4 linked regions of the Styela clava genome follow. The protein of the gene in region 3 binds, or shares a complex with, the protein of the main gene of each other region. Links are inferred from orthologs where the notes say so. Each region holds a gene or a part of one and is shown on either strand. Other genes may lie near its edges. The genes, in order: uncharacterized protein LOC120346397, transcription initiation factor IIB-like, transcription initiation factor TFIID subunit 7-like and general transcription factor IIH subunit 3-like.

Region 1 (8,591 bases), on a different chromosome or scaffold from region 3:
CGAATTTTTTGAAACCACTCAACTGCCGTATGAATAGAATTTTATGATTAAAGTGATTTTTTCTATGCGACTTTTCCACACTTATCACTCTGAACAAAACCAGTACAAGATTTATAAGGAAAATAATATACTAATATCAGGAAAGATTATCATGCTAAATCCTACACAGCAGTCTAAAATGATTCTATATTTGGAAGTAAAATCGTATTAACAGTTCCACTTGCAAGTTGCATCAAATGCTAAACAGCGGGAAAAGTACAGAAAAAATGCAAACCTTATTCCCATCTTCGTCTTCATATACACCGAGTGGAGCCGGAGCTGGGCCAGCACTTATCGTTTGAGTGATAACTTTTCTTTCAACAGCAGCTGCAAAACTCTCTGAAACAGTTTTTACACTTTCTACAGACACCTTTCGTTCTTTGGCAGGTATTGGGCTGTCGCCAATAGAAGAATGTGACCGTTTTTTGGTACTAGATTTGACACTAGAATTGCCACCTTGCTTAATAACAAATTTTTTCTCACTTGCTCCCATTTTTAATGTTAGTTTTGGTACCATTGGGGAAGGAGCATCAGAATCAAAAGAATCACGTCTTAACGATATAGCGACGTCTTTCTCAGGATCTTTAAATTTTTCTCTATGATGACTTCTTTCTTTGCTTTCCCTTCTTATTTCTTTATCATGTGACCATCCAATATCAATATCTTTGTCCTTATCTCTATCTTTCTTCTTCTTTTTCTCTTTCTTAGATTTCTTCTTTTCCTTTTCTTTGATTGTTGCTGTAACATTCATGACGGGAACTGCAGCAGAAAGTTTTGGCAATGGTAAATTTCGACTAATCACCGGAGATGGTGGTGAAGGTGACCTTGCGTGTTCTTTCACTTTGGGTTTGACTACTTTTGCATCTCCGCTCTTTGACTTCTTCAGAATTATTTTTTCCACTGACATATCGTGTTCACCAGAAGATTGTTTAACTTCCGATAATTTCGGTGTCGAATGCTTTTTATGTTCTTTTGTCTTATGATGCTTGCCTTCTTTAAATTTATGTTTCTCTTCTTTAAATGGTTTTGGTGTTTGTTTCATGTCAGCTTTAAACAAATCTTGATCGACGTCAAAAAGTTTAGGTTCAGGGTGTTTCAAATGTTTTAGTTTAACTTTCATTTTAACTGATTTTTCAGATATTGTTTCTGTGGTAACGAAAGATGCTGGTTTATGAATGTGTTTATCCTTTTTCGATTTTGAATGCGATTTGTGTGAGGATTTGCTGCTTCCATCATCTGTTCGTTTCATTTTCTTTTTGTGCTTCTCTTTTTTACTATGTTTTTCATGTTTGGATTTTGACTTCTCACTGACAGGTGAAATTTTTGGCGGTAATGGTATTGATTCACCTGAATCAGAATCAACGATAACATCTTCATCTTCATCATCTATGTCAAGAGATTGTGGAGTTTCTGCGGATGACGGAGTAGGAATGGGAGATGATCCTGGAGTAGGAGGATGTGCATCTCTTAGTCCTCTTTCTTCCAGTTGCAACATTTGTTCCACTTTATGAGAAACATCCGCATCAGAATCTGATGAACTAGAATCCTCTACAAGATGAGAGAATCTCATCAAATCTGCTTCCTCCGCATCTTTTTTAGCCTGCTCATCTTTCTTTACAGTTTCTTCTGAAGCTCTATTGATAACAGCATCAATTGCATCATCCATAGATTTATAAGATGCAAAGTTGGAGCGATCTTTATCTTCGAGACTTTTGCCAGGAAAAAGCTTCTCTTGTTTGATTACAGGAGAGGTTTCTCTTGAAGGAGGAAAATTTAAATTCTCAACAGGATGCTTGAGTAGTTTTTCAGCTCGTTCAATGCTAGATCGCACTGGAGACTTAGGAGGTGATTGCAGACCAGGCTCACGTTTTACTGATTTTGGAGTTTGAGGTTTGTAAGCAGGTACAGGAGGACCCTGGATAAGTCTTTCTGCCGCCTCAATCTTAGCTTTTATAGGCTCGTCCCCTAGGTCAGCTTTCTTGCTAGATGATGAATGTTTGAATGATTTATATGGTTTGTGATGAGATGATTTTCGGTCAATACCTTGTTTCGAAAAATGTTTGTGGCTTGAAGAACTGCTTGGAGTCGAAGTCAATCTTTGCTTTCCACTTTGAGGAGTCATGAGCTTTTTTGAGCTAGGTGTGCCCTTGTTACTAGGTGTAGAAGAATAATCTTTATCCTTACTTAGCCATGGTTTCTTTTCCACCGTGGAGCTTCCAAGTGATAAATCTGGTGTGTGTTGTTTAGATAAATGGACAGGAGATGCAGTTTCACCTTGCAACCAGTCAGCATCATACACATCAGCAGTTTTTTTCTTTCCAGACAGCCATTTTGGGTCTTCAGATTTTGTAGTTTTGGACGCCCAAGAATCCTTACGCACACTTGAGCTCGTGGATGGCACATGACGCTTTTCTGGAGTGGGTTTATCAGGGCTCAACCATGGCAAGTCTTGAAAAGGTTTAGTCGTTTTATGAGATGGTGTGTAATTATGTGGCTCATCGAAACTCTTTTTCCCTTTTACTACAGGTCGTTCATGTAATTCACTTGCCGTTTCAAAACTACTTCGTCTTGTTGGTGACATGCTACCACGCAGCTCATCCCATTCAGACATCATACTACTTGGTGCAGTACCTTCAATTGTTGGAATGTCTTCTGGTTTTGTCAAATGACGAGACTTCACTGGGTTATGTGATAGGGAATCATCGGACATGTATTCTTCATTCGATGCCTCACCTGCAGAATAATCATCTTCATCAGAGGAAGAGCCTTGTGCTTTGCCAGCAATGACAAATGTTGCTTTCTTACTTTTTTGGCTTTCAGGTAAATCATTTTCTTCAGTTTCAACAATTGGTTTTGGTGGTGCAACAATCATTGAAGGCATGTAAAGAGGAATATGTTCCGCTCTGTCAAAATCTTCAGGATTATTACCAGAAGGAAATTGTAAATTCGAATCCTTTGGTGCAGGGAACATTGGCACCTTATGTGGGAAAGCAACCGGCTCCATTTGTTGCATGTACTCGACTAAATCAGGGATAGCAACATGCATTCTTTTTAATGCAAATTCTACATCCAATAGGTTCGGTTTTGTCTGACAACATTGTTCACTAAAATCATGAACAGACTTTGATAAAACAAGTAAATATTGTTCCAACACATTGGTGAGAATGTCAAGAGAAGATGATTGAATTGAATCAAATCCAACAGCTTGACTAAGCTGAGCTATAACAACTCTCAGCACACTTCTGCTGTATTTCTCCGCCATGACAAAACCTTACTTAAATACGGACTTTATGAAATATACCTGGGTATAGAAATACAAGTAAAATATTTTAAATAGCAATAATCAATATTCAAATGTATACAATGAAAAATCATGATTTCAAAAATGAAAACAACACAAAAAAAAATTTTCAAAAATAATTCTCATACAGAAACATTTGAAAAAAATGACAAATAGGATGAAGTCAATCTTTTTGTTTCCAGAACGACAACAGTTATATTACACAAGGCACGAATTGCACAAATAAAATGGCTGGATTCAATGAATTTTATTTATTAACGAAAATGGCATAGTCATTATTGTATACAAAGTAAGATGATATGGAATGATCAATATGTCGATAATAATTCTGACACCACTCACAATAATAGTATTTGGGACAATTATCCTGATGACGGAAACATTACTGCAATAACATCAAAATTGATTGTGATGAATGCTGACAAAGAAACTTTTCATTGGAAGGTTTGTGAAAAATTTCAACCTGACCCATAATATAATATTAAAGACTTTGAAAAATAATAGCCAATTTTGATTTGAATCTTTGACACATTTTTACTTTAGATTGTTTCCAATCGATCACCTAACATTCCAGTACAATGCATACTTGATTGCATAATCGATTTTTTAAAGAGACACTGATAAAAAGTTTCCACAATTTTCTATATATTTCTGGAGGTTGCAAAAACTGATGAGCATTGAACTTATAACTAAATCCTATGCTCAAAGTTACAAAAAAACAGACAATGGAGGATATTTTAAAACGTTTCTCTTTGTCAATTTTTGAACAAATGGTATTTTCCATCAACTCAGGGAGATACAAACAAAAAGTTTAAAAATTCACTTCTGAAAGATTTCAACAATATTGCACAATATATTAAGAATGATCATTTTATAACAATATTAACTAGTTTACCATTAAGTATGCAAGATGGTATATTACGAAATGCAATATTCGTCCACATTCAAGGCAAATTTACCATTATATCACAACAACAAAAATCATGTTTATGGTAAAACAGACATAACTGGACATGAATAAAATTATTCCAATCAAGAAATATTTGGAGTATAAAAAGTAATATAGCCAGAGGATGAACACATTATAAATACCTATATTACTTCATATAATCAGGTTTTGCATATAAAATGAGCATTAGAATTTATCAATGATGATCAACTGGTGTTCAAGAAATGCAAAACTGCATGTTTAACAGTAAATGGCAATAAACAAGCATTTCCTATTAGTAAATAATGGCAATATTCATTGGTAAATTACAATTGACATTACAAAATTACTTGTTTTCAATGTCAATGTTCAACTTTTTTCTATTACCATTGTGTTAAGTATTGTTGGTCTTCATTAAGAGTGTCACTGCACGATAATCAGTATTATTTTTTTCAATTCCAATTTTACATTCTGTATATGCAGCATGCATTTCCATTATGGGGGAAAATAAACTACTGATTCTATTACTTATAACATTGTACACCTTTTTATAAGGTGTGTTTGCTCTGAAAAGTGATCTTGACAGGCATTTATTCATACCTATAGAGCTATTATGTTGAATAACAGCATAAGCTTTAAAACAGTAAGCTGAACATAATGTAAAGAAACATTACAAGCACATTATAGTTGCAAGAATACAACAAAATAATCACATCTCATGTCAATAGTATATGCACTCTAATATATGAAAATATCAGCTTTTCAAATCAAAACACAGTGATACCTCGGCCGTCGAACATAATTCGTTCAGGACTGGTGTTTGACTACCGTGACAGACTACATACACATCCTACTACGTTTTGGCCTTCGCATCCATATATTTGGGCATCTCTCTTGAATGGTCAAGACGCGGACGAGATGCGCGGATTGGGAGACGTCATCTGATCATCTCACTCGGCCACATGCTCAGGTGTTCGAGCACCGAATTTACGTTCGAGTACCTCAGCATTTTTGACTAGAATTTTTTAGCCTACTACCAAATTATTAAGAGTATCGAGTTGTTCGACTACCGAGGTATCACTGTACATTCATCTTATATATAAAAACAGTTAACATTGAGAATCAAAAGACAAACAGTCATAAACATTTGAATTCAAAAGCACTGCCAGAAATGTTGGCTCAATTAAAGAAAAAATCAGAGATAGGCAGAAAATCAGTTAAATCAAGCAATTGCCTATACATTTTAATGCTATTTACATAAAATGTTATGTAAAATAGGCTTGTTTTTTAAAAAATTTATAGTTCTGCCATCAAGCCAAAACTATAGCCAAAATTTTCTGGGTTCATGTGATAAATTGTTACACAGATTACTTTACCCCATATAATTAATGTCATATTTCAGCCTAGCAGATTATGTATACAAATCTGTTGCTCCACTGAAAACGCAGAAAATATTATGAAATAGCAACACTGATAAAATATATATATATTTTAACGTTATTTTTTGATAAAGGCCGTTTAAATGGAAGAACGCACTGGTTTGAACACAATTTTGGTTTGAACAAATCTGTTGGCAATACAATTCAGTGAAATTTCAATCTTTGTGAAAATGTTATGGAAATATGCATACAAGTATGTTAAGATAACATTGCATAGGACTTGTTATGGAAAGTCTAATAGAAAACTGCATGAATTTTAATATTTCATATTAAAGTGTATAAGAACGGGCATAATTCAATTTCAAAATTAGTTAACTTCATGATGGGTAGCAAAAACTATTGATCAAAATGATATCAACATTTTATGCAATAATATAAGGTGAGCGAGATTTTAAAAAAGTAAGAATCTGATTTCAAAATGATGAAAAACAACCAATTCAGGCTTTGGAAGAAAAAATAAAAGCTCTCAATTTGCATGAAAAAAGGCAACAGAATGAGTGTTGAATGAGCGAGTATAGACCTTAAACCATGTCACATCCATGAAATACAGTTATCATTTTTCTTTTTACTAAGAGGTAGTAGGCAATGTTCAATTTACAATCACATATCTGGAATTCAAGAAGGGAGAACAAAAATTTACTTCAAATGAACATACTTAATTTGTTATTTAATAAAGTTCAAATTGTTTGAGAGATTTCAATACTGTTACAGTATACCGTATATGCTCGTTTTACCGCCCGATCTTGATTAAGGGCCTGTTTGAATAGCCGCCCGTGTGAACAAAACATAAAAATAAATAAGGGCCCGTGCTTGAATACCCGCCAGATGTAAAAGCTGACTTTTTCAGTGGTAGAGAACAATAGGAAATAAGAAGCGCTTTTGTCACAACGCTGTTGAATTTTGAGCGCCGGTAGATAACACTCACGCCTCAGGCGTCCAAGTCAAAACAGATAGCATTGATTATGTAACACCATGGTTTTCAAACTGGGCGTCCCGATGCCCAAGAGCATCGTTTCAATATTGATGGGGCGTCGCAAATCTTTTCTTCTTTTGCGGATTTGTACCTGCGGTGCGTAGAAAATGTCAAAATTTTCGTTATTCTCGTTTAAACCATACTTGAGAACTGGAAATAACAATATATTATTTATTGTAACGATCGAAAATAACAAGCGTCCGTGCTTGAATAAGGGATGGTTTGCATTAAGGCCCGGTTAGTGAGTTGGTTGAAAAAAATATGGGCCCGGGCTACAAAACGAGCAAATACGGTAATCATAATTTGTCTTACCAATGTCTGATAACTCAAATTTCGCGAAAAAAAAATGGCATAAACCATGATCAAATGGTTAAATTTAGCATATTTCACATTAGTTAAATTTAAATCTAGTGGATATTTTGAAGACATCAAACCGATAAGAATTCTCTTCAACCTGCTTCATGTTTTGTTTTCCCGATACGAAGTCTGTGGCCAGAATGCCCCATACTCACTCCACAGTTCATAGTTTGACAAAAAATCATGAAGCAAATTGTTTAATTCAAACTATGCTGTTATTTTTTCCACCCAATGTGTCATAGAAGCCTTCAGATCCTGCATTGTTTCACTAGCATTGTCCAAGCTCAAGATTGCCATAAATGCCAGGTTATGAGTTTGAAAGGATAGAAGGTGGTGCATATGAGAATCCAACAAAGGCATCATCAACTTCTTGAACACTTGCATTTACCTATAATTTAATGTAAACATTGCATGTTATTTTAATATAATATGGAGAAAGGATATACATACAGATATTGGAATAAATCAATCACATTGTTGTGTGAGACACAGCCACAGGCCAGAAAATGTACTAACAATCAGTTACAAGATAGACTTAATTAACAGCAAATATTGATATATCAGTCTTTTGTAGCCACAAAGTGGCAAGCTGATCCATTGAATGAAAAAAATTGCATCAATACACACAAACTTACAGTATGGTCGTCATTTTCCCCAAGAGATTCTGGAACAGGTTCTTGAACAAATTCTGGATCAACATGCTTTAAGTCTTCAGGCCCAGCCTTGTATGAAAAATATATCATAAAATTTAAACTGAGAATATCTTAAAACCGCAAAACAAATCTATCAGATAAAACAAAGTACAAAAGATGTTCCAGCTCGCCAATATAATTGAAGACAAAATTTGTTCATGAAAATTCATATTGGTAAATTCCTTATTCTACTAGCTCAGTGGTTCCCATACTTTTTAAAAATAATTCCATGACAGAACCTTTGCAATTTTTTTCAATTATTCCTGGCCTTGAGCACTAGAACAAAACATTAAAAGATCACAACAAAAAATCAATGCTCCGTTAATGAACATTAAAATGAACAAAAGTCTATGACGATGTTCAATGCACTTTAAAGCGAACTGGCATAACTTCATAAACTGCCTAGTGCCTACTGTAACTCCCTCCTATACCAACAAACATACAAAAAGGCAGCGTCAGCTACATCTCTGCAGTTATTTGACTTGTATTGGCTTGGCAGCAATTAAACTAACTCTGTGATATCACAGGTCCACAGCTCTGTGACATCCCAATAGAGCAGCATGGTCGAAACAATAAGTGAAGAACCAGTGTCTCCAGCAGTGATTGCGAAGCAGCAAAAGGCGACAATTATGTATTGCAAATTTAGGCACTTAATTTTTGTATTATCAAGCTATGAGCCCTATAACAGATTTTTTTCGTGGCCCCTCCAAAAGTGCTCCACGGACCCCACTTTGGCAACCACGGATCTAGCTGTTTGTGCTATATTATTGACTCTTTAAGTGCTCCTAAGCTTCCTACATCATGCATAGCAACAAAGTTGTATGTAGCCCTGAGCAAATCACTGATGGCTCGCAACTGTTAA
Region 2 (8,304 bases), on a different chromosome or scaffold from region 3:
TTCACATACCAAAATAAATGATTGATTGATTGATTGATTACATCAATGACATTAAACAACATGATAGGCAACTCTGACGTCACTCCATAAGACTACATGCGAAAGATTGTATTTCATGATACGCTCCAATGCACATATTTCTCGTCGCCTTTCACGACCGTTTTCCGCTCGCTTTTGCTACTCGGCGTCTACTTTACGTGTAGTGCCTGCCTTTTTGCGCCTGTAACGAAAGAAAATAATCTCTATATCTAAGAAGTTTTGCTCACTTGGGAAGCTGGAATGGCAGACAAGCTGTAAAGAGTAATTCTGGACATCATAGACGTTTTTTTTATCAGAGAAGATTACAAACGCGATAGCGTAAAGATTTGTGTGGAACATTTTGCAGATAATGACAAAGTTAGTAATTTTAATGTTTGCGCTTAAAACATTGAAATTTCATTTAAAGAGAGTGTCATGCAAAACTGTTTTTACTTCTCTTAACGGTGCTGTGATACAATTCCATAACACAAAGTTTGCACCTATCGAACATGCTTCAGTAGGTTAATTTATTAGACATATATATTACATATTTAGTTAACCGTAGGTAACATTGCTGGTACATAATGCCTCGTAGATAGGTTTGTGTCTAAATTTAGGAATTTAGTTCATAGCCCACTAATTAATATTATCTTACCGATCATCTGACGATGCTCATTTAGTTTGGCTCGAGCAAGTTTTCATGAAAGACTTGTATGAATGGAAACTGCCTATATGTTTTGCTTTCCTCCGATTTTAGAAGACAAATTTATTCTGAGGGATTTGGCATATAATTCTCATTGATTGTTGGCTGTTTATGATTCCTATTAATTGTGAATTCTGATTATAACAAAGAGTTAAAAATCATTTTACGTAATTTACGGGCACCTTTTTCTTGTCAATACTCCAAGCTGAGGTAATAAACAAGACAATACTGTACATTTATGTCATCTGGAAGCAAAATATGCACACTAATTAAAAGTTTGACACATTGAGATAATACATCATGACAGAAAATACAAGTTAAAGATATGTATGACCATCACATGGTAATTAAAATTAAAAAAAAATTAATAGGGGCTGTGGAGTATATAAAGTTCAAGACAAAGAAAAGAACATAAGTTCATAGCTCATGAACTCTCAATTTTGCCTCCATTGCTTTGTGAAGGCCAATATATTCCGAGTGGCTGAATTGGTTTACCTTTATGATAGCAACGATTTTGTATTCAATATAGCGAGATTTTTTTCAATTTAATTGCAGTGATATTATTTCCCAAAGCAATGCTTGAATCGTCTAGAATAGATCAGTGGTGTCAAACTCAAGGGTTTTTGAGAGCCGCATTGCATTTTGGAAATTGTAAAAAGGGCCAAAAACACTTTTTGATAATGTATACTTGAAAGATATTTTTCAGATAGTTTTAGTTTGTGACATATATTGTGATGCAACTAAACAGTTGGATTAAGTTTTATTATTTTCTTTAATTTCAAATGCAATTACATATTAATATTTGCATTCCACTATTATTGCAAGTTACTGTATTTATTACAAAAAATCATAAAATTCTATATACAACCATCAAAATCATTTTTGAACAAGCTTTAGATAAGGAAAGAATAATACATACACTAAAAATGACTTAATCTAAATACATGGACTTGAAATTAACAAAAATACTACAGTATAAACTCAATGTTTTTTTAATTACATTTGTCCTGACGTTTGGCATCTTTTTTGTGTCACCAGCATACTAAGGCAAGGCTGAAATGATTTTATAGTACCAACTCTAACTAACGAGGACACGTGATCATGGGTTTTTCTAGATCTTTGCGAATGTTTAATTAATTCCAGTAATGCAAAAAAGTTTCTTTTATCATTTCATGAATAGATCAGTAAAAAAACAAATGACAGATACGACACGACATTTCGCGCCACATTGCATAGGATTGCTTGAATTAATATTGATATTAATTTTTAGTCACTAATTCGTTGTATATTTATATTAATATACAAACACATGGTAATTTTCTGTTCGAAGTTGGTCTTCGAAATTGTCATATTGACTGCCGAGCTTATTGTGTTTTTTTATTGTACTGATGAAAATATGACAAATTGAACAATGTGCTTCAAAATTTTGTGAAATGCAGAAATATTGCAACTTCCATTTTCTTCGAAAATGCCACCTTCTTCATGTACTTTGCGTTCAATTTATTCACTCAAGTGTTTTATTCAAGTATTCTTTTGCTAGCTTGATGTGTATTCTTAATTGGGTCAAAATGTGAACAAAAAAATTAACTTTCCAAAACTACTTTCAGTAAATTGCTTTCTGTGTGAATATTCAATTTCACTTTAAAAGGGTTGAAAAATCTATTACACTTAGATAAAAAAAACTCCAAAATACAATTACAATTATTGTTAAGCGTTCGAGGGCCGCACTGGAAGTTCTCCGGGGCCGCGAGTTTGATATCCCTGGTCTAGATTGAAGTTGTCCTAAATATAAAACAGTATTTTATCATGAATCATGATTATACCATTTCCTGAATTTCTTCTTTAGTAGGCCTACTACCAAAAGTTGATGAATCAAATATAACACAGGTGTAGTGAGTGACCCATAATCCTCATTTTCCAAAGCTGTTTTAAGTATGTCTGGCATGTTTTGTGCATTTTTACGAATAAGACCGCTTATGCAATCTTACGCTTTGGAATTTTTAGTTATTTTCCTTAAGCCCTGCAGGATGTAGGGGCCATACACAACTCTACCGGAGGGTCAAATGTCTTTGCATGTCTCCATAGGTTGTTCTTCTATTGCAAACATTTATGGAGTATTCTGATTGTATTTCTTGGAATCACACTGTCACTGATATGTCGACAGACTTCTGATATCTCCCCTTCTGCTACAGTTGTCATGTGAATAAATAATAGAAAATTGAGGTTGGACGAATAGTTGAAAGTTTTGCTTTATGTCGGCTTAATTTCTTGATTGATATACTTTCTATTTTTGCTATTGCCTCTTGTGCTGCAGGAGTCCCACAATGCTTAGACAGGTTTTCCCACAACTTTTACATCTAAAGAAAGAGAGGAGATTTAATAATTTTCGTTAAGAATAAATAAAGCAGTCTATATGATTTAGATTGGAAAAGCTAATAAATCCAATATCTCATGTTTTATGTAAAAAATGTTTTACTGAATTTGGTATATAAACCAACTAATAAAGGGGTTTACAGAAAATTACTATACAATATAGACCGGTATGAGTGAAATGTTAGGTGAACTTGTTAACCCTTTGATTCAATACGCAAATAAAAGTGAATGAGCAATAGTATGTTACAGCAATGAGTATATATCCTCACTGATTAAAAATAATCTAATTGGAGGTGCATGAACTATTTGAAACCGTAAGGGGTAAGTAAATATGCAATTCCGGCAAATGGGCAACTACGTACCGTACTGATTTAATAACTTCGTAGTATTTGGCAAAAGTCGGCTTTCCCACATGTACTTAACAGTGCAATGCCCGGGTGTGATATACAACAATAGTATTTACCTTACTTTTTTCCGATTTCTTTTTACCTTCAATTTTCCAATATATCATTAAAATCGACAACAACTGTCAAAGCAGGAACGAACACCATTAGTGCTATGCCTTGAAAGCAGCACACATCCGCTCGTTTTCGTCTCGTCAAGTATGTGCATTGGAGCGTGCTATCGGATACGATCTTCGGCCAAAAATGCCTGGGTTGCGCATCATGTTGTTTAATGTCATTGATTACATTATCAGGGGAGCGGAAGCCGATAATAAAGTTAAATCATATGGCAAACCACGACCTCTCGTCCGGTTATCATTTCATGCCGGATTGACATGCAAGAATGTTAATATTTCGACGTTTTGGCTTCAGACGGTTACGTAACGGCGACTTTACAACGCCAGTCGTGCTAAAAATACGCTCTGAATTAACTGACGTAGGTGGGCATGAAAGCAAGCTTACGGCCAAAGCGAACATCGCTTGGCATTCGTTTCTGTTTTGTGAGCATGTGGCCAAAAAACAAGTTCAATCAATCAATCAATCAATCAATCAATCAATCAATCAATTTTATTTGGTCACTCTGATACAAACAAAAAGCAAAACAACAACAAAGGGCAAACAAAATACAGAGGACTTGGAGGACGGGCATAACTCAATAATAAAGTTAAATACGTACAAGTACGTGCCCGTCCCCCCAAAACACAATAAACCAAAAACACGATGTGACCTCGGGCAATATCTTATAAATTCAAATTAAAATGTGAGACGTGTATGTGCTTTTCCTACAGATATATGGATTAAAGAACACTCGCTGCCGAAAAATGATGATGCAGTAGGCCTAGTTCAATTACGTTGCAAAAGTGACACAGTGACAAATTTTTATTTTATTTTTTTACTGAAAAACAAGCTCGGTAAATGGACTGAATGTTCCATAGCAGTCTACGCACAAATCATGGATTGGGGTGTTGGGTTCTTTTGTCGTTTTCGGTTAGTTCAGTTTAAAATCATCGTATCCGTTCCAATGCAAGTTAGGATAGGATAGGATTTTACATATTTATCCAGGGGGAGAGGAAAGCCGATAAGACGGCTTATCCATATGGCGAACCACGGCCTCTCGTCCGGTTACCATTCCAAGTCGGGTATGGGATTAGTTATATTGTTTTTCGGAAGCATGGACTTGGCAAGAACGCAGTACGGCGTACGCTACTGATCGCGTATTGTTGCATCACAATCGAAAACGTGTTTTTTGCCGTTTTCACTTTGACGTCACAGACTCGGACGATTCGATTCGAGTCCATGATCTATTACTTTACTCGGATTCGCCGAATACCGGACTCGTCCTAACAGGTTTGTGAGGTCAAAGGTCGAAAAACATTGCATCAACCCTCAACCGACGATTGAAAAATTCAGCCTATCTGTGAATTAGCTTATCAGTAAATCAGGCCTATGGCGCGTGTCTGAACATCTCATTGGTCTGAAAACTCCCGAGGTAGCAATTCTGCCTTCATTCGAAGCTCTGTTCTGCTGTTACAGTGTTGAAACTAGTCTTGTATTTGAGACCGACAGACAGGGTTTTCAACTGTAGACAAAGAATCTGATCTGACAATGTCAGGTTCTAGGTGAGTAGAGAGAGAGATTTATTTCGTCAACCAGAAAAACTACAGTCATAATAAGCTATAAATTAAAAACATATAAATTAATGTATATTTACTGATAAACATGGGAAACTTTATCTGAAATCAACAATGGAATAATATGAATTGCTGGATAATACTGAATGATGTTTACGAATATATTTGTTTATTATATGTAACTATGTTCTATGATTATTATTTTTTCATCATTTATTTATTTTTACAAAACTGTTATGAATCCACAACGTGGACCTTAAAAAAAAACATAATAATAAATAAATAATGGCTATAAAAAATACACTTTTTTCGGAAGGAGCGATACGACCATGCGGTCATCGAAGTCAGCCCCCTCTAAGTTTACGATGATAAGTTCACAGTAAAATATGACTATTAGAAATGGTTAAAGTTCACGAAACAAAATTTGGAAAAACAAACAAACAAAAAAATGAAGTAGGCCTAAATAAAAGTAAATAATTTTTTTCTGTGAAATCAATTTTTAAATGATGAGATTTGTGAAATGAAACAGTTTGGGCAAATAATCAACGATTACACTATTATTTGAAAGTGAGGAGTAAGCCCCACAAATAAAAAAACAATTTTGGCTATTGGACTACTATACTCAAATGTAAATTTGGACACATAACAATTGTTCGAATCAGCAAAGAGTCAGCCTTACATGTACGAATAAATTTCAGGAGATAAACAACATGGTACTCATGTAAAAACAATTGTTTAAAGCGAGGAATCAGCCTTATTGGAAATATGAGATCTATCATCAGTCTGTTAGTATTGCGGTACTGCAGTTCAAATTGTATTTTTATGTTTTTATCATCTTTTTAATAAATTAAAGAATTTAGAAAACCTGCAGACCTGTGTTAGCAGCATTGTGAATTGGGGTAGGCCAAAACCCTTGATCATTTCACAATTACAGATTAAAAACAGTGTTTTGATTTGTTCTCAAAAATATAATAAAGGAATTTTGATCAATTTCTGAGATTTCAATTGCTTGAAATGATAATTTATGCAATGTAACTATCACTGTACTGAATTATGTGGAACACACAATAAGAAACTATTGCCATGTCTTCATGTTGTCATAATTTTTTGGCTTCTGCTGTAATAAATATGTTCAATATCAAGAGTCATTTCAACACTGTTTTCAAATATTTCAGCAAAAATCATCATCGTCAAGTCTGTTGCCCTCAGCATCCAGATGCTCCTTTGATTGAAGATTACAGGGCAGGGGATATGGTGTGTCCTGAATGTGGCTTAGTAGTTGGTGACAGAGTGGTGGATGTAGGGTCGGAGTGGCGTACTTTCAGCAATGATAAAGACTCTAAGGTACTCTGAGTTCATGTATTTTATACTTGTATTCTCTTATGTCTGTATGTATAAAATGGCTGATCATATGAAAAATTTTTGTTGTGAAAAATCACCAATTTTTTCTATAAATAGATGTTGAATGCGAAATGATTCGATAGCTATTTTCAGATGTCATGACAGTGTTTTCATCAACGAAATATGGAAAACACTTGAAATACAAAGTTACTATTTTTTGAAGCTGGGAAATTGTTTTTGTTTTGAATTATACGATTCCTTGCTTTATCTCTCAATCAAAGTTCAGCGGCTTACCAATGGCACCCGGCAGATAAAAATGAAACGTAACAGAATGCTAAACTTGCTTAATTAGTTTTCAACCAATCTATTTGATCATATTCTATATGATTGTATAATTTGATTACAGGATATGTCTCGTGTTGGAGATGCAGAAAACTCACTACTTTCTGGAAGTGACTTGTCAACAATAATTGAGCGACCTTCTGGTCCTGGTGGAGATGATTCAGGTTATTCAGTGTGATTAAATTTCATTCACCCCTGTGGGGTATAGGAATATCAATCGTTCTTATGTACAACCTATATGAGAGGTCAGGAACCCATGGCTCGGGGGCCATATATGGCTCTTTTGGTAACGACATATGGCTCCCAGAAAAATCTAAGGCTAAGCTTACTATTGTTACAAGATTTCAAACACTTTTATAGCCAAATTTGCCAATATGTTTGAGAACGCCCAGCACATGTCTATGTTATATAGGAGAATTACCAGACAGACATTGTGACAAAACTAGGGGATTCCGGAACATCTTTCGTGACATCACAAAGCGATAGAATCGCGGAGCAATAGAATAAAGCTTAGTCTGTTTTTACGTACTAGTCACAGTATTTGTCATATTTAAATTAGATTAACAAAGCTAGTTTTTGAAATACTACGGAGATTCCTAAACGAAAGAAGGGTGATGAGTGTTATAGATTTCAACTTGTGCTGCATGTCAGCAATCCTGCAACGACAACAGGTAGCATCAGAAGTCACATTAAATGTATATTGACATTGTATGTTGACTTTTGAGCAAAAATTTCAGGCCTGATTAAGGAAGAAATGCTCTATGGCTCGCACAGAAATGCAGTTAAAATATGTACCTTTCATGGCACTCTTGACCAAAAAGGTTCTCGACCCCTGACCAATATATTAATTTTTGAATGAAGTGTTTGATTTTAATTATTTCACTTGATTCAGTAAGGTTCAAATACATGTACAACCATTTTTCAGGTTTTGCCAAGTTTTCCAACCGAAAATCAATGAATAGTGCAGACAGAGTATTAATCGGTGCTTTTAGAGAAATAGCAACAATGGCTGACAGAATAAATCTTCCTAAAAACATTGTGGTAAGAAAATTGATAAAAGTTTGTTTATGGCTTAGGTTGTCTGATTGTTGACTACTTAACAACCAAAGAAAGTTTCGAAACTGTGATCCATCAAAAGTCCTTGGCTTCATTAGTTTACTCATCCTTCTGGCTCTTGTGCAAATAGGAAACTTTGCCATTGGCAAACCTTAGGTTCAAATCATTTTTATAATAAAAATTTTGGCTCTCATGATGGCTGTCACTCCTATTTCTGAGGAGTACGATAGATCCATTTTTGATATTATTAAAAAGCACTCTAAGACGATAACCTCACAGCATTATTATTTACTAGTAAATTTTAATGTTAATTTCATATCTGGATTCTCAGGATCGTTCAAATAAACTTTTTAAGCAAGTTTATGAATCAAAAAGCTTAAAAGGTCGAGCGAACGAT
Region 3 (7,139 bases):
ATGACATCATGGTTATGTGTATGGAGTCGTTGGTGTATGGTATGTATTTGTTTGGATTTTTAATATATTATTCATATATATTAGGGAGAATGGGATTCACCATAATTTAAAAAAATAAAACAGAGAAGAAAATTTTTTTATTCAAAATATAATACTAATTCGATTCTAAAATCTCAATACGAAAATTCCGTTTGGCATTAGAATTTATTTGGCACAAAAAAAGGTAGCGGCCCATATCAATAACATGGCATGCGACAGATTCTACTTTGGCAAAACAATATATGATATTTCCAACAGAGTGTACCCCCAGCTAGAAAACTCTGCAATAAGTACTTTAAGAAGAAACTGCTTGATAAATAAGTGCGAAAATGAATTACGGCAAATATGGGAAGCACTTCCAATAGAATGGAGAGAGATTTTATCAAGGAATAGGGAATTTGGTCAAACAAGAATATTAATTGATAGGTACAATGGGTCGAAAGACTTGACCACTAATCAAATTTATAGGATTTTACAAAGTAAGAAAAATGATACATTTTTGAAAAACCATGAGGAATACATATTTAATAAATTTCACCTAACTAAGGCAATTAATTGGAATAAAATATGGAAAATAAATATTGGAAACAAGTATAAAGAGTTATGTTGGAAGTTAATTCATAATGGGTTGCCCACTGGAGACAAAATAAAACAATGGTTCATTGATGAACCAGGAATGTGTGTCTTATGTGAAAATAATGTTGAAGAAACTGTGTGTCATTTATTTTTAGAATGTGACTGGTCTAGTGATTTTTGGCAATGGTGTTGCATAGATATTAATCAAAATACTATTATAGCAAACGATTCGGAATGCAAATCAAAATTAATCACAATATTATGCGGAAAATCAACAATTTGGCAATATCGAAATTCAGTAAAATATGATGAAAGAGATAAAATGAAAAGTAGTATGCGTTCAATTTTCAAGTGTAAACTGGTAGGGATTTTAAATTTACTAAAAGCAAGCGAAAGAAATGAATTATTGTTATATGAGCACATGGATGATCTTTTACATAGGTCAATCATGATGTAAGTTTATATGCAACACCATACTCTGAAAATTATTGAAAGTATGTTATCTGTACATCATTTTCATAAGAGGAAGATGTATCGACTATGAAACATAGATGGCGAATGGGAAAAACCCAATATGAAAGCGTGGATTTTTCCATATTCTCTGTCTAATTTTTGTATTCTTGTATTTTTCATGCTAAAAAATTAAAATAAAAACTGATTACCTGTAAATTAAAATTATATTCAACTAACTGCTGAGTGGATTACATGTGGATTAACTCAACTTTTTTGGACATATATTGGATTATATTAAATTAATGACATCATGGTAATGGTATGAATTTTGTCTTTATTTTGATTTTTACTATTCATATGTATTGGGGGGAATGGGATTAAATTAAAAAATGATAAACAAAAACATGGAAACAAAAAAAAATATCTATTTATATATTTATAATAAAATGATTTGATACCAAAATATTAATACGAAAATTCCGTTTGGCATTGGAATTTATTTGGCACAAAAAAAAAAAAAAAAAGATTCTACTAGACAGTTTGTAAATGGTATGAGAGTATACTCCACATAACTGTGTAAGTTTATATGGTGCAAGATCCACTGAAAATCCAATAGTTATTAGATATAAGTTTATTTCAACTCCATAATCAGCAATAGACGATAAGATAATTGATGAAAACAAAATAAATGAAACTGAATATAGAATCGGGAAAGCAAACGAAACCTCAAGTAAGGTTTTACATATTTTAGGTGGGAAGGTATTAATAAAAGAAGTACCGAAGTAGTACGTTAAAGAAGTAGTTAACGTTTCTATAAACTTGAACACTGGTGGAGAGGAATAGGAGTTTCCTAGTTCTGTAGTTGTTACAGTACCGGTACCGTATTGATACTAGCTTAAACAACAATATTGTTTTGGTTCAGTCAGGTATGGAATATCAGAATATTGCAGAAGTGGCATACCATGTGCTTGTAACCTGCTACAATCATGGTATAATGCTCCTGCTGTTAGGTTTTGCATTTGATTTTAAAAGTTTTTCAATAGTTTTAATATTGGCTGATTTGGTGGAATTTTGTTTTTTTTCTACCCATGAAACTCTTATCTGAATTTTTCAATTAAAACTTTAAAAATTTTCTTTCTGCCATTATTTGAAATGTATTTAATTGTAGTAACTGAACATAGGAAACATTTTTTTACTCTAAAACTGTACGGCCGATTCGTTCCAAATGTTTCGCCTCTCGGACTTTCTTCGATCATTTTTTGGCACATGCAGACATGACAATTTGAGTTAATATTCGGGCTTTCATTCACCTTTGAAGATGTTAGAAAATAATAATCCACTTTGTGGAGCCATTGAAAAAGAAAAATATAATAGCCTAATATCAGAATATAGTGTCTTGGGAATTGTTTAAAAACATTATTATCGGTATATAAATACATACAGATTTTTAGGTTCATTAACATATATTTATCATTGTTTCGTTAAAACAACTTATCATTACATTTCATATAATTCAGTAATTTGTGTTTACTTGTTCACAGGACATGATCTTTCAGAATGCAAGTCTTCAAAATAATTTTTTTTATAATAATATCAACAAGTCTAAAATCTATATGCTTGGCTGAGGAGGGAAGTATTGTTCTTTCTGATGGAGTGTTTATATACAAGAGAGAAATTGTGAAAGAAGCATTGGCTTATGGACAATATAATGATGAGATTGCAGAAAAAGGATGGGGCATCCTCGACATCACTGCAACGACGCATAACATGAAATACTCTCCTGATCAAATTATGTATGCCGCTGGAATGTTAGAAGGAGCTCTTACATCAAAGCGTATATATCAAAATTATGAGAATTTGAAAGGTTTTTTGTTTGATAACAGACCTGCTGATATATACAATCGTTCTTGTGATTTTTTTGCCAAGCAAGAAAAATGGTTAAAGGAGAATGTGATTTCTGGGAAAGGTGATATTAGATGGGAAGCCGTTGGGTACATGCAAAGTCAATTGGAGGGACTTCTGGCTGGATATACTCTGACAGCCAATAATAGTATGAGCATGTGCCAAATGCATTTGTTGAACGGAGCAGGAGACATGTTAGATTTATTTAACGTCTTCCATAGACCATCGCTAAATCATTTTAAAAGAATGTCAAAAAAACAACTTCGCCAATATAACCAGAAACATGGTCATTGTTCTGTTCTTATTAAAGTTACTCCAGGATTTGAAAACATGTATATGGGACATAGCACCTGGTTTGTTTACAGCGCAATGCTTCGTATTTATAAGAACTATGATTTTCAAGTTTTCGGTAAGGAACATAAAAATTCAAAAATGTCATTTTCTAGCTATCCTGGTTTTCTCCAGTCATGGGATGATTTCTATATATTGGGAAGTGAAATGGTTATATTACAAACTACAAACAATATATACAATACTAGCTTGTATGATCTTGTAACTCCTAAATCCCTTTTAGCTTGGCATCGTGTTCGTGCAGCAAATCTTCTAGCTAGCAATGGGTATGATTGGGGCGAAATCATCAAATTTCACAATTCTGGCACTTACAATAATCAATACATGGTGGTTGACTTGAAAAAATTCACGCCTGAAATTGGTTTCGAAGATGGTGCGTTGTATGTTGTGGAACAAATACCAGGATTTGTTGAATCTCATGACCAAACAAATATCTTAAGGGAGGGATACTGGGCCTCCTATAACGTACCCTTTTATGAATCTATCTACAATATGAGTGGGTATCCGGCTGTTACCAAAAACGATCCTGATTTGTCACATGACTTAGCTCCGAGAGCAAAAATATTTCGACGTGATCAAGGCACTGTTGTTGATATGGAAAGTATGAAAAAAATTCTCCGTTACAACAACTATAAATTTGATAAATATTCAGAAGGTGATGCTTGCAATGCTATATGTTGTCGCAATGATTCAAATTATATGGGGTGCACTGATTCAAAAGCAACCGATTACTTTTTGGCCAAGTCCTTTACTACTCATGCAATAAATGGGCCGACGGTTGGTGGATTGAGTGATATTCCGCCATATAAATGGCCACAAAATTCTTCCTATCATGAAGGAATGCCTAATGTATGGAATTTTACTTTCATTGATATTAAGCCTAAATATTTTGGGTAATCGATAGTAATAAATTATGATAATACTATGCAATGTTTTTAAATTTGCATTTTAAATCTTTTTATTATATGTTATATAAAATACAGTTCATTTATTATTCAGTGATGAGTTCTATTTGTAATTTTTTATTATTCCTGTCATGATTTTTGAGATAATATTTGGTATTTGAATATCAATATTTTGCAGGAATTCATCTTTTATTTTATACTATAAAATCGAGACAGTTAAGAAATATTGTACAAGTATAATATAATGACAAATTCTCGAATACCTTCAGTCATTTGGTTTTGAGTTTTCAATTTTTTGTGTGTTGTACTCAGTCAAGTTTGACTATTGGAAGATTCTTTCCTACAATTCAGAAGATGATATGTTGCTAAAAGTGTTATAGAATTGTGTTTCCGTTTTACGAATATTGTGTTTTATTGTTCATTAGGTACTCCTGAAGTATGGGCACCAAGATGTCGCACAACCTGAACCCTAACCTGGTACACAACCTGAGTTCAGGGTGTGCGCCATCTTGGTGCGCATACTTCAGGAGGTCTGTTTATTATAATCAAGTAGATTTATATAAGTTGAGGATATATTATATATACAGGGCTGCCTCCTAAAAAACAGAACCTATATTCTGGAGAAAACATAATTTTTGTGCAAAGTTTCTTAGATTACTGAAACTTTCGTTTTCCATCATACACAAAAAGAAGTTCAAGGGTTAAATTAATTTTCTTCATTTTTTTCTGAAATTTTATTGCCAAGCAATATATATACACTATTATGCAATGCTCGACATCATATTACTAGATGCATGTTGATATAATATTTCTTATTGTTATTTCTGGCAGACACTTAGGTATATTATAGCCATGGATAAACCGAGCAATGCTCCATTTGAATTGGAAAATTACTTTTTAATGAGGTTACCTCCGGATGCTGCCACCAAACTCAATGAAGTTATGCTTGCTGGAAATTTGAAAGACAGACTAACATTGAATATGCATGATGATTTACGACATGGTGCAGTGAAATTTGATGGGGAATGTTATTCAGGAAAAGTTTGGGACTTACCTTGCGTCATTGAATGTCAAAAAACTGTAGATATGAAGACTTTTTATAAAACTAATAATCTTAGCCATATGCTTGTTTGTACTCCCGATACAGATTTAAGTGAACATAATTCTAATGTTCAGCAAAATTTAAAATCGAATCATTTGAGAGAGCGGAAATTTCTATGGCCACATGGAATTACTCCACCACTAAAAAATGTTCGGAAACGTCGTTTTCGTAAAACGGCAAAAAAGAAGTATATTGACTCTCCTGATATAGAGAAAGAAGTGAAACGACTTCTAAAAGCTGATATTGAAGCTGTGAATGTGAGATATGAAATAATGACAGAAGAGGAAAAATTGGACGATAAATCGAAAAATTCAGATTCTAATGATGCTAGTCAATCTTTGGAAAATGATGAACTTCATAAATTTTTTCCTGAAGTTAGTTCGGAGAGTGAAAAAGAGGACGATGATGACGTAAACGTGGAAGACGTTGATAAAGACGACAGTTTAGATTTTATCGAAATTCCATCTGGCGTTCCTGTCGTGACCAATGAAGGAGAGAGAGCACGATTGAAGGAGAGATTATCTAAATTAATGACGGAAGTGTCCGAACTCAAAAAACGTAAGGAAAGGAAAGAACAACTAATCAGAGGCCAAATCACAAATGAAATGTTAAAAGTCAAATTTCAAGGTGAATTAGAGGTCGTTCGTTCCAGAATTCAAGATGATATGAAGGATATTGCTATGACAAAAGCCAAGTTGGGCCTAGAACGCTAATTATTAATTAAGGGATGCAACAATTTCACTCTTCTCTTCTTGACATGCTCTCCTCAACATCAGGAAAATATACACGTAAATAATTGGGATACAGTGATGTATGTGGTGCAAATAAAAGGTTTTGCTTATCTTCCCATATTATAGCACTCATTGCTTTTTTATCTTGGACAACATTTTTACCAATCCTTTGTCAAACTTACGTAGAAATGTCATTTCAATCAATGTAAATCCCTTCTTTACAAAATGTGATTTTCAATAAAATTTTAAGAATTCAAAAATTGTTTTTTTGCTTACTAAAAGTCATTTCACTTACTATTATCTGCTTTTTTTTATAGACTGCAAGATCTAATTATTATAGTATGAATCCCGTTTATTTCTATATTTGATAAACATAATCATTCAACATGTTTTCTGGATTATTTGGGAAAAAGAAGAAAAAAAATTTGCCTAATAATGGTCGGACTGAAAATGCTTATGAACAAACTAACAGTAACCACACCGAACAACCTCCAGAACCTAAACAAAAGCTTGTATTCCATACTCAGGTAATATTTGACATTGTTGGTTTTGTGCTATTCAATCCCAAACCATACTTATGGTCTGAAAGTGATTATTACGAAGCCTGTGCTGAAAAAGGCATTTGATACTGACGGTATGAGCTTTTCTGTCTGAATAAAATTACCATTTATTCAGTAATCTGACATACTGTTATTAATTTTGTTAGATATTTACCAAATAGTTGGGTTTTAGAAATAATTTACGATAGATTTATTAAAGAAGTTATCATTTTAAGCCAGGGTTTCTAAACTTTTTGTGCAGCGGTCCCCTGTTTGTCTGACTCTACGGCAAGTCTCGACTTGTAGGTCGTTGCAAAAAACAATAAAATACTACGTAATTGCCTTTTCTGACAGCGAGAGATATTCCTTCCCAACGCTCAACCAAAAAGATGTAATGACTTTTTTGTTGAAATTAATTATTAAAGATCGATCAGACTCTTTTCATATCGTTGCGGACCCCCTGTGCAGTCATCACTGTGTTTTATTTAGCCATTGTAGTTTTACAATACGACAAAAAAATTATATAACCAATCCCTTTTCT
Region 4 (8,553 bases), on a different chromosome or scaffold from region 3:
TTTCTTTTTTTTCGTAGATATAATTTAGAAATTCATAAGTTTTGTTTTCTTATGACACTGTGTATCTCTTTGGGCATCATGTTGTAGAGCGGCCATTGTGAGCAGCCCGTTTCTTCCTTTTACTTTTCAGTCCAAGCGAAGGAGGTGGTTTAAAAGCAGTTTCACATGTAGAGCAGATAGGACTAAACTGACAAAATATTGACAAACATACAGAACAGACAAAACCGACATCGACGAGACTACGATGACAAAAACAAGCAGCTCTGTAGTCAACACCACTTCTTTTTTCTGTTGATGAAGTCAGAGTTAAACTTTGTTTTCTAAGATCGGGATTGACAAGAAAAGCAGTCTGAAACAAATGCAATATTAAGTTATCAAAGAATCAGTTTTTGGACACGAAGTGTACATAAATGAATCGTTTTGTTATTATGTTTAATATGTTGTTGTTGTTGGTATTTTTCTTCTTGTTATGAAAAAATCTCTTTTTTCGTTTCATTAACTAATGGACCACTAGCTTTGAAATTTTCAGTGACTAAAGATTATATTTATTTATTTCCAAACTTTATGTGGGCTCTTCGTGATTGGTTTTTCACTTCGAAATTTCATGTGATGAGCTCTTCAAAATTAATAAAAATTATTTGTAGCGGTTCTGAGACCTTTATCGAGCTACTCGAAAGTCGGAAATATTTTGACCAAACCATAAAGTAGACTAGTTAAGGTACTGTATAAAGTAAGGTTGACTACTGCTTCACTTTGGCCTTTGTATTCATATATTTGAGCATCGCACTCTCAAATGTTCCAAATATATTTCTGTGTGGGTCGAGGTGGCAGTAAATACACAAATTTAAATCCCATAACACAGTCTCCTGCATTCCCTCTTGTATTTAATTTTTTGCAGTCACCGCAACACTTTTAAAGCATCAACGCAGATTACACTGAAATCGACTGTCCAGACCCAACAACAAAACAACTAATGGCACAGTTTAAACAATATGTACTTGTCACTAGTAATAGAGTAATAATAAAAAAAATAATTGAATTTAAATTACCAATAAATACTGTAAAAGTGACTCTTGATTAGGAATCTTCATATATATCCCCCCTGTCATGTCACATGCTTGTTGTAATAAACCAGAATCCTGCCCCAACACACAGGAATCGATCACAATTTGATGCTTTTGTGCTGAAATAATAAAAACATACCAGTTAAAGTCTCAATATGTAGACTATGTTTCACCGAGTATTGGCTAATGAATGCATTGAAGCATTCTGCAAACAGCTAATAATGGCAAAAACTAATTTCTCAGTATGGTATGAATTTGTGATAAACCTAAAGAATCACAATGTGTTACCATATTTTTTCTGAAAATCCCCTTTGACTTTTTTTAAACAAAATCATAGAAGATATTGATTCTATTTCCTAAAATATGTCATTGTTTATTTTGTAATTAATATTGATTAATATTGTTTCAAAAACTTTCTGTTTCCCAATGAGCGTAGCTTTTTCATTAGTGCAACTTTGAGGAAAGCTATGCTATGTAAAGCCAATCTGCATATCCCTTAACACACAAATTAACAAGGTGAACAACATTTCAGTTGGGATTCAGATTGTGGTCTGTTATTATACCTGTGGCTGCAACTGTATATCAAAAGCCATAAATACCTGCGAATATTACATTCATAAAACTCATATATTGAGCAGCGGCATCATCTGCAGCTTTGATGACAAGTATACGAGATCTTGTTTTCTCTCCCATTCGTGACTCCCTGTGTAATTTGTTGATATCTGGTTAACAAAAAGAATTGAAAGTTGGTTAAAAAGTGGAAAACCTGTATATGTGTGAAGAATGCTACCTGGTTACGTTTCCTTTGGTAGAAAAAAAACTATAAAGTCAGTCAACCTTATTAATATTCATATAATCAGATAATATAGTGATAACTCGCTAGTCAAACGACTCGACACTCGAACATAAAATCCGAGTCAAAAACGCTGCGGTACTCAAACGGAAATTCAGAGCTTATTAAACACCCGGGCCGAAATGACGCCTCCAGAACCATGCATCTTGACCATTTAACAAGCATCAGTTCGAGTCGGTACATTAGTGGGATGACACATGTTGAATAAATTTTGTGATTTAGTGCTTGTTCTTGCCCTTTTTGCAGTTAATGATGGCTCCAAAGAAAAGTCGTGATCACTGTATATCACACTAATAGCGAAACAAATAACAGTTTTTTCTCAATTTCAGCCCTTCACAGAGTTACCGTACATATCAAAACCTTCGAACCAATTTATTTCTCTGCCAGCATTGACCTGAAAATCTATGCCAAACTACAGGTTTATGCATGAAATAGAGTGTTGACATCAGTTGACATGTAGCTGGTATTGAATGAATGGTTGCTTGCAATTCCTATTAGTAATGAACTTGTGTTTAAATGAGGGCTTACAGCGTTTCATGAGACATACATAAAGCATAACATAAGTAGGTTGATATCGATATTTGCAACATTTAGAACTGAATTGAACACTCAAAACTGTTACTCTCAAATAATCTGAAATTTTAGGTATGAAACTTACAGCAGAGTGCAACAGTCATAGATCCTGCGATTAAGGAATCACTTCGAATATTACTTTCATTTAATTTTGTAGTCATCAGTGATTTGAACTCTTCAATGATTGTGTCATTTATGGCCGTAAATTTTTGGTGATCTTCGCCATCTTTCTAAACAATATTTTTGAATAGATCAAATTATTAGAAAAATATAGGTGTACGCAAATAGAATACAGCATTAGTCTATCTTGGCTTTGAATAACAAATATTTTATTATGGAATTAGCCATGCGCTCTCTGTACTCGGGGGAGACATTCCAGTTGGTGTTGCTTACTTTGGTTATGTCTGTGTACATTTACTAATTATACATTTATACTGAGTTAACGCACAAGGTTATAGCCAATTCTTGTGCGGCTTGATATAATAATAAGTTTTATGGTATATAGGTGGTAGAAAATATTTGTTAACTTTATATAAATAGCGCTGATTATTTGGTTTCTGCGAGACTAACTACTTATCCTTCTTCTATGCTTTTATGCCGTGGATCCGTATGCATATATTGCAAGGATGCTGTAGCAAGAGTAGAGATAAGTGCAGCAAGACTCTTGAATCACTTAGGTTTTATATAAATATCCTTACTTTTTGAGATGATTCCTCTCGTTTGGGATATAAATATTTTCTGAAATAAAAAGATTGTATGAATGAAAATAAAAAAAAAACAAATATACAAATCCACTTGATACCCAATTTAATGTTCCATTAATGTTTACCTGTATATCAAAAATGTTCTATTTTTTTTCCTAAAATATACAATTAGATATAAAGAATAAGCACTAACGTTTGAGATGTGTGACTGGCCAAGACTGCCAGTTTATTTTCATGATGCAACATCATATAAGAATTCACAAAAAGTAGCAAACAATCCAAGCATCTTGCTATCTGTGCTCTCCCTTGTAATGCTTTCAAGCCCCACCATACTGGATTCACATCAAATATTATAACAAGAAGCTGACTATCTTCAGCCATATGCAATATATTTTGAGTTTATGCAACTGAAAACATTAGGCAGATTGAATAAAATTAATTGAAATAGCTCAATAAAGTCATTGTTTGAGTTGGTGTATTGTGGCAGTAGTTAAAACCATTGGCCTATTACGAATTTGAACTAAATTTTAAAATTAAATCATATACAAAAAAACATTCAACAAATTAAATATTCACAACTAATCATTGGAGGTAATTGGAGAATCTCAAAATATAAAACCACGATGCGATACAGAATACACTCTATGACCGCACCGAAATGAAACTTTTGTGCCATTGAAAGCAAACATGGTACCGGTACCACAAAAACATGTAGGTCTGAGAAGTTAAAAATGTGTATTGTGTCAAAACTGATCTATGAGTATGGTGAAAATTTTCAACATACCTTTTTTTTACTAAAATTCATTCGCACTCAACATAAAAGACTTCATTCTCTAATTGTATCATAACATTATCAAACCATCGTATGTAATCATTATTCAATCTTATATAATTGTGTCTTATCATTGACAGTCAACGATATAACAAGAGATCGGGGATCTTTGACATTTTTATGACAATCTATTTTTCCATGAATAATATCTCCCTCAGACACATTCATACTTTCATCTAGAAAGAAGACAGCTTGTTTCCAGTGAGTGGGGGTACAACAAGGTGACGTTGAAAACATTAGGTCGCTTTTATCCGAATGATTTTGGAAGATGTCAAAATAGCCAGCAATAGCAGAAAATGATCCAGATTTTATTATTTTCAAAGAAAAATCAGATTTATAATTAAGATTTTTCGATTGAACATTTCCAACATTAATTCTATGGACCACGCATGGTTCGGACATGACAGAAGAAGGATTTAACGCTTGAATTGTTGCTTCAGATAAAACTTGTTTTCGAAGACAAGACATTTTGAAACCATATACGTCTTTCCAAAAAGTGACATTGCTAGACACAAGTTTATCATCGTGAATGGCTATGAGAGATATTGAACAATGGTTAGGAAAAAGTTCACCAGTCGGAACAAGCCATTTATCCCTAGCATAAAGCACAGAATCAAGCATAGATTCATATAACAAAAAATAACCCATCCACTCGGAAATAATAATATCCACATTCGAAACAGGAAGATCGACTTCTTCTACACGACCTTTGAGTATCGTTATTCTGTCATCAAGATTATTTTCTTTGACAATATCCATTGCCTGAAACGCGATTTCAGACATATCAATGCCGTAAACGTGTTTTGCACCTGCTTTTGCAGCAAACATAGATAATATTCCAGTTCCGCAGCCAACATCTAATACAATTTTATCCACAAAACGCTCTTTGTTGTTAAATATGACATCTTTATATGAATTTGTTCTGACAGTATCTTGAAGCATTTCGGCATGAATATCATGATGTGAGTATGTTCCAAAATAACCTGCATCTTCATATTCTTCTTCTTCATAAACAGAAGTATCTTGACGACACGCAGCAACAGGACGATATATACCCACGTCTCCTGTGAGTATAATATCTTGCATGAAAGATTTCATTTGCGAAATTTGATTCGATGCTGCTGTCAATTTAATAGATAAGTTTTCCCTTTCTTTTTCACTTTTTTTAAGCTTTTCATGAAGAATTTGAATTTCAGACATTTTGTTATCGCCATCAGGATTATTTGAAATTGTCGCATTTAGATTTGACGTAAAATCAGTTTCATCTTCACTGTCAAAATCCGATCCATCGTCGAGCATAAATCGCAATAGAGGATCATTTTCTATAACTGGTTTGAGGTAATCGTCAATAACCCACTCAGATTTTTGAGCACTCAACTCCTCACTCGAAGGTGGGGATTTTTTAAAATATTTTTTTCTCAAAAAGTTGATTACTTTTACATAACCGAAAAAGTCTAACGATAAGTCACAAAGAGCGATCTGCCAGATATCAAATCCATGGTTGTTCTTCAGTGCAGTGTAATATGCTAATGGTGATGAAAAGGGTTCACCTGTAAAGATACAAGTCACTTGATCATCTGTGTTGTCCACATCAAGCTCCTCAAATGAATCATCATCACTTTCATCGAGAATCGGAGCAGCTTGGGTCTTGCATGTGGCCATTTTGTGTTTGAAGTTCTGAATTCTAAAGTCTGTTTGAAAGCTTTTACTGGTCTCAATAATCGCTGTAGTCCTATGTTTCTTTCTGTTTTTTTAAAAACAATAAAGAAATAAAAGATAGCAATTGCGACAGCACTGTTTTCTACATTCCCACCCATACATTGGCCTATAGATTTTTAATTTATTCTAGCGCATTGCAATCATTTTTCAAAAGATTGAATTATTTCTCAAATTTCTATACCGATATTTGCCGGTAGTTTGTGCGGATTTCACTGTTTCATCTGCTTTTCATGAAGAGTGATGGTAGGTGCTTTATTCTCAAACATAACCAAATTTTCGGTCTTACTACTTACTGAATACAGCGCGAAACACCGCAAAGAGCGCAAAACAGCGCGAAACAGCGCAAAACAGCGCAAAACAGAGGGAAACAGCGCGAAAGAGCGCAAAACAGAGGGAAACAGTGTAAAGCAGAAAAAAATTTTGCAATGAGTTCGGGGCACCTTGTTTTGAGTTGGAGTACCACGGCAGCAAATTAAAAACACAAACCAACGTATGTAGCCAGTAATGCTGTAATGGCAGGTCTGCCCCTGCTGGTGACACATTTTGGGTACCATAATTCAGAACATTTTCCATATGGATATGGTTGGCTTTAGGGTTAGGGTTAGGTGAAAAGCGACCTCCAGAAGTATGTGCACCAAGATGGCGCACAACCTAAAAATAGTATGTGTGTGTGTGTGTGTGTGTAGCGGATTCAGGTTGTGCGACATATTGCTGCACATACTTCTGGAGTACCAAAAAGGTAGATAAAATTTCGCATGATGACCTATAATCCGGTACATAACCTTGTAAATATGCCGGAAATAGCGCCATAAAACGGGTCTTACTACTTACTGAATACAGCGTGAAACACCGCAAAGAGCGCAAAACAGCGCAAAATAGCGCGAAACAGCGCAAAAGAGAGGAAAACAGCGCGAAACAGAAGGAAACCAGCGCAAAACAGAGGGAAACAGCGCAAAACAGGAGACGCAGTCATTACCACCTCCAGTATTATATATACGCTTTGGTCATTACCACCTCCTGCCACGAAAGAACCACGGCGCCTCTCGCCATGGTTTTATGGCGCTATTTCCGGCATATTTACAAGGTTATGTACCGGATTATAGGTCATCATGCGAAATTTTATCTACCTTTTTGGTACTCCAGAAGTATGTGCAGCAATATGTCGCACAACCTGAATCCGCTACACACACACACACACACACATACTATTTTTAGGTTGTGCGCCATCTTGGTGCACATACTTCTGGAGGTCGCTTTTCACCTAACCCTAACCCTAAAGCCAACCATATCCATATGGAAAATGTTCTGAATTATGGTACCCAAAATGTGTCACCAGCAGGGGCAGACCTGCCATTACAGCATTACTAGCTACATACGTTGGTTTGTGTTTTTAATTTGCTGCCGTGGTACTCCAACTCAAAACAAGGTGCCCCGAACTCATTGCAAAATTTTTTTCTGCTTTACACTGTTTCCCTCTGTTTTGCGCTCTTTCGCGCTGTTTCCCTCTGTTTTGCGGTCTTTCGCGCTGTTTCCACACTGTTTTGCGCTGTTTCCCTCTGTTTTGCGCTGTTTCGCGCTGTTTTGCGCTCTTTGCGGTGTTTCGCGCTGTATTCAGTAAGTAGTAAGACCGGTGTTTAAGGCTGTAAGGTGTTGATTAGGTCGTCATACAATTCATCGAATTTTAGTATATTTAGTAATATAATATTATGTAGAATAAAAGTAAAAAATTGTTTTATTGTACGTGCTATCCAAACGGAAACATACATGTGTACGGGACGGACTAAAAGTAGGCACTTGCAAATTAGGCACTTTTTTAGGCACTCATTTAGGCACTTTGGAAAAAAGTAAAAAGGGCGTAATACCTTGTAATAACATAATTAATTAGTTAAATATGGTCAAATTAAATGTTGAAAACGCAAATTGCAACGGGCAAACTCAATAGCAATATTTAAAACGCAGTATTAAAGGCAGTCGCACGCGCTTGGTCACCACATAAGCTAGGCACTTCGAAAAATAAATAAAATGGCATATTCACTAATAAAAGAAAGAGAAATAAAAATATTACCCACACTGATTAGCCTGAGTAAATATCTAAGAGATGCACTTGAGTCCAGTACTGGAGTTTAGAAATAATAAATTGTTACCGGTAGGCACTTTTTTAGGCACTTATTTAGGCACATCGAAAAAAAGGTGAAATGGACGTAGTAACTCCTAGAAAGATAATGAATTAGTTCAAAATATTTAAATTAAATGTTGAACGCGAAAATTGCAACAGTTAAACCCAATACTGTAATGATTTTTAAAACGTAGTACTAAAGGGAGACGCACGCGCTCTGTCACCACATATGCTAGGCACATATTTAGGCACTTCGAAAAATAAAGAAACTGGCAATTATCACTATTAAAAGACAGGGAAATAAAAATATCACCCACACTGATTAGCCTGGGTAAATATCCAACAGATGCACTTGAGTCTAGTACTGGAATATAGAAATAATAAATTGTTACCGGTAGGCACTTATCTAGGCACATCGAAAAAAAAGGTGAAATGGACGTAATAGCTTTTAAAAAGATAATTAATTAGTTAAAAATTGTCAAATTAAATGTATAGCACGCAAATTGCAATGGGTGAACCGAATAACAATATTTAAAACGTAGTATTAAAAGGAGTCACACGCGCTCGGTCACCACATATGCTAGGCACATATTTAGGCACTTTAAAAAAAGAAGAAAATCGGAATTATCACCAATAAAAGACAGAGTATCAAAAATTTTACCCACACTGATTAGCCAGGGTAAATATCCAAT

What was found.
Region 1: transcription initiation factor TFIID subunit 7-like (region 3) and uncharacterized protein LOC120346397 share a complex: the UniProt entries of both Homo sapiens proteins name them as parts of the TFIID basal transcription factor complex. The link is inferred for Styela clava from reciprocal best matches to the Homo sapiens genes TAF7 and TAF3.
Region 2: transcription initiation factor TFIID subunit 7-like (region 3) and transcription initiation factor IIB-like share a complex: the UniProt entries of both Homo sapiens proteins name them as parts of the TFIID-containing RNA polymerase II pre-initiation complex. The link is inferred for Styela clava from reciprocal best matches to the Homo sapiens genes TAF7 and GTF2B.
Region 4: transcription initiation factor TFIID subunit 7-like (region 3) and general transcription factor IIH subunit 3-like share a complex: the UniProt entries of both Homo sapiens proteins name them as parts of the TFIID-containing RNA polymerase II pre-initiation complex. The link is inferred for Styela clava from reciprocal best matches to the Homo sapiens genes TAF7 and GTF2H3.

What each region holds. Positions count from the first base shown.
Region 1 is NC_135257.1:9,008,089-9,016,679, reverse strand, and holds the start of uncharacterized protein LOC120346397, read right to left. Parts: upstream 3,305-8,591; 5' UTR 3,302-3,304; coding exon 275-3,301; intron 1-274. Other genes in the region: serine/threonine-protein kinase Sgk3-like, read right to left, coding at 7,345-7,425, 7,673-7,759. UniProt on the Homo sapiens protein: The TFIID basal transcription factor complex plays a major role in the initiation of RNA polymerase II (Pol II)-dependent transcription.
Region 2 is NC_135254.1:20,967,012-20,975,315, forward strand, and holds the start of transcription initiation factor IIB-like, read left to right. Parts: upstream 1-4,876; 5' UTR 4,877-5,142; coding exon 5,143-5,156; intron 5,157-6,343; coding exon 6,344-6,512; intron 6,513-6,913; exon of another isoform or gene 6,914-6,915; coding exon 6,916-7,015; intron 7,016-7,776; coding exon 7,777-7,892; intron 7,893-8,238; coding exon 8,239-8,304. UniProt on the Homo sapiens protein: General transcription factor that plays a role in transcription initiation by RNA polymerase II (Pol II). Involved in the pre-initiation complex (PIC) formation and Pol II recruitment at promoter DNA.
Region 3 is NC_135259.1:4,890,811-4,897,949, reverse strand, and holds transcription initiation factor TFIID subunit 7-like, read left to right. Parts: upstream 1-5,078; coding exon 5,079-6,041; 3' UTR 6,042-6,377; downstream 6,378-7,139. Other genes in the region: PDZ domain-containing protein GIPC2-like, read left to right, coding at 6,446-6,586. UniProt on the Homo sapiens protein: The TFIID basal transcription factor complex plays a major role in the initiation of RNA polymerase II (Pol II)-dependent transcription.
Region 4 is NC_135253.1:5,671,013-5,679,565, reverse strand, and holds the start of general transcription factor IIH subunit 3-like, read right to left. Parts: upstream 3,578-8,553; 5' UTR 3,576-3,577; coding exon 3,388-3,575; intron 3,229-3,387; coding exon 3,189-3,228; intron 2,721-3,188; coding exon 2,576-2,720; intron 1,787-2,575; coding exon 1,664-1,786; intron 1,184-1,663; coding exon 1,050-1,183; intron 350-1,049; coding exon 77-349; 3' UTR 1-76. Other genes in the region: uncharacterized protein LOC120325703, read right to left, coding at 4,069-5,688. UniProt on the Homo sapiens protein: Component of the general transcription and DNA repair factor IIH (TFIIH) core complex, which is involved in general and transcription-coupled nucleotide excision repair (NER) of damaged DNA and, when complexed to CAK, in RNA transcription by RNA polymerase II.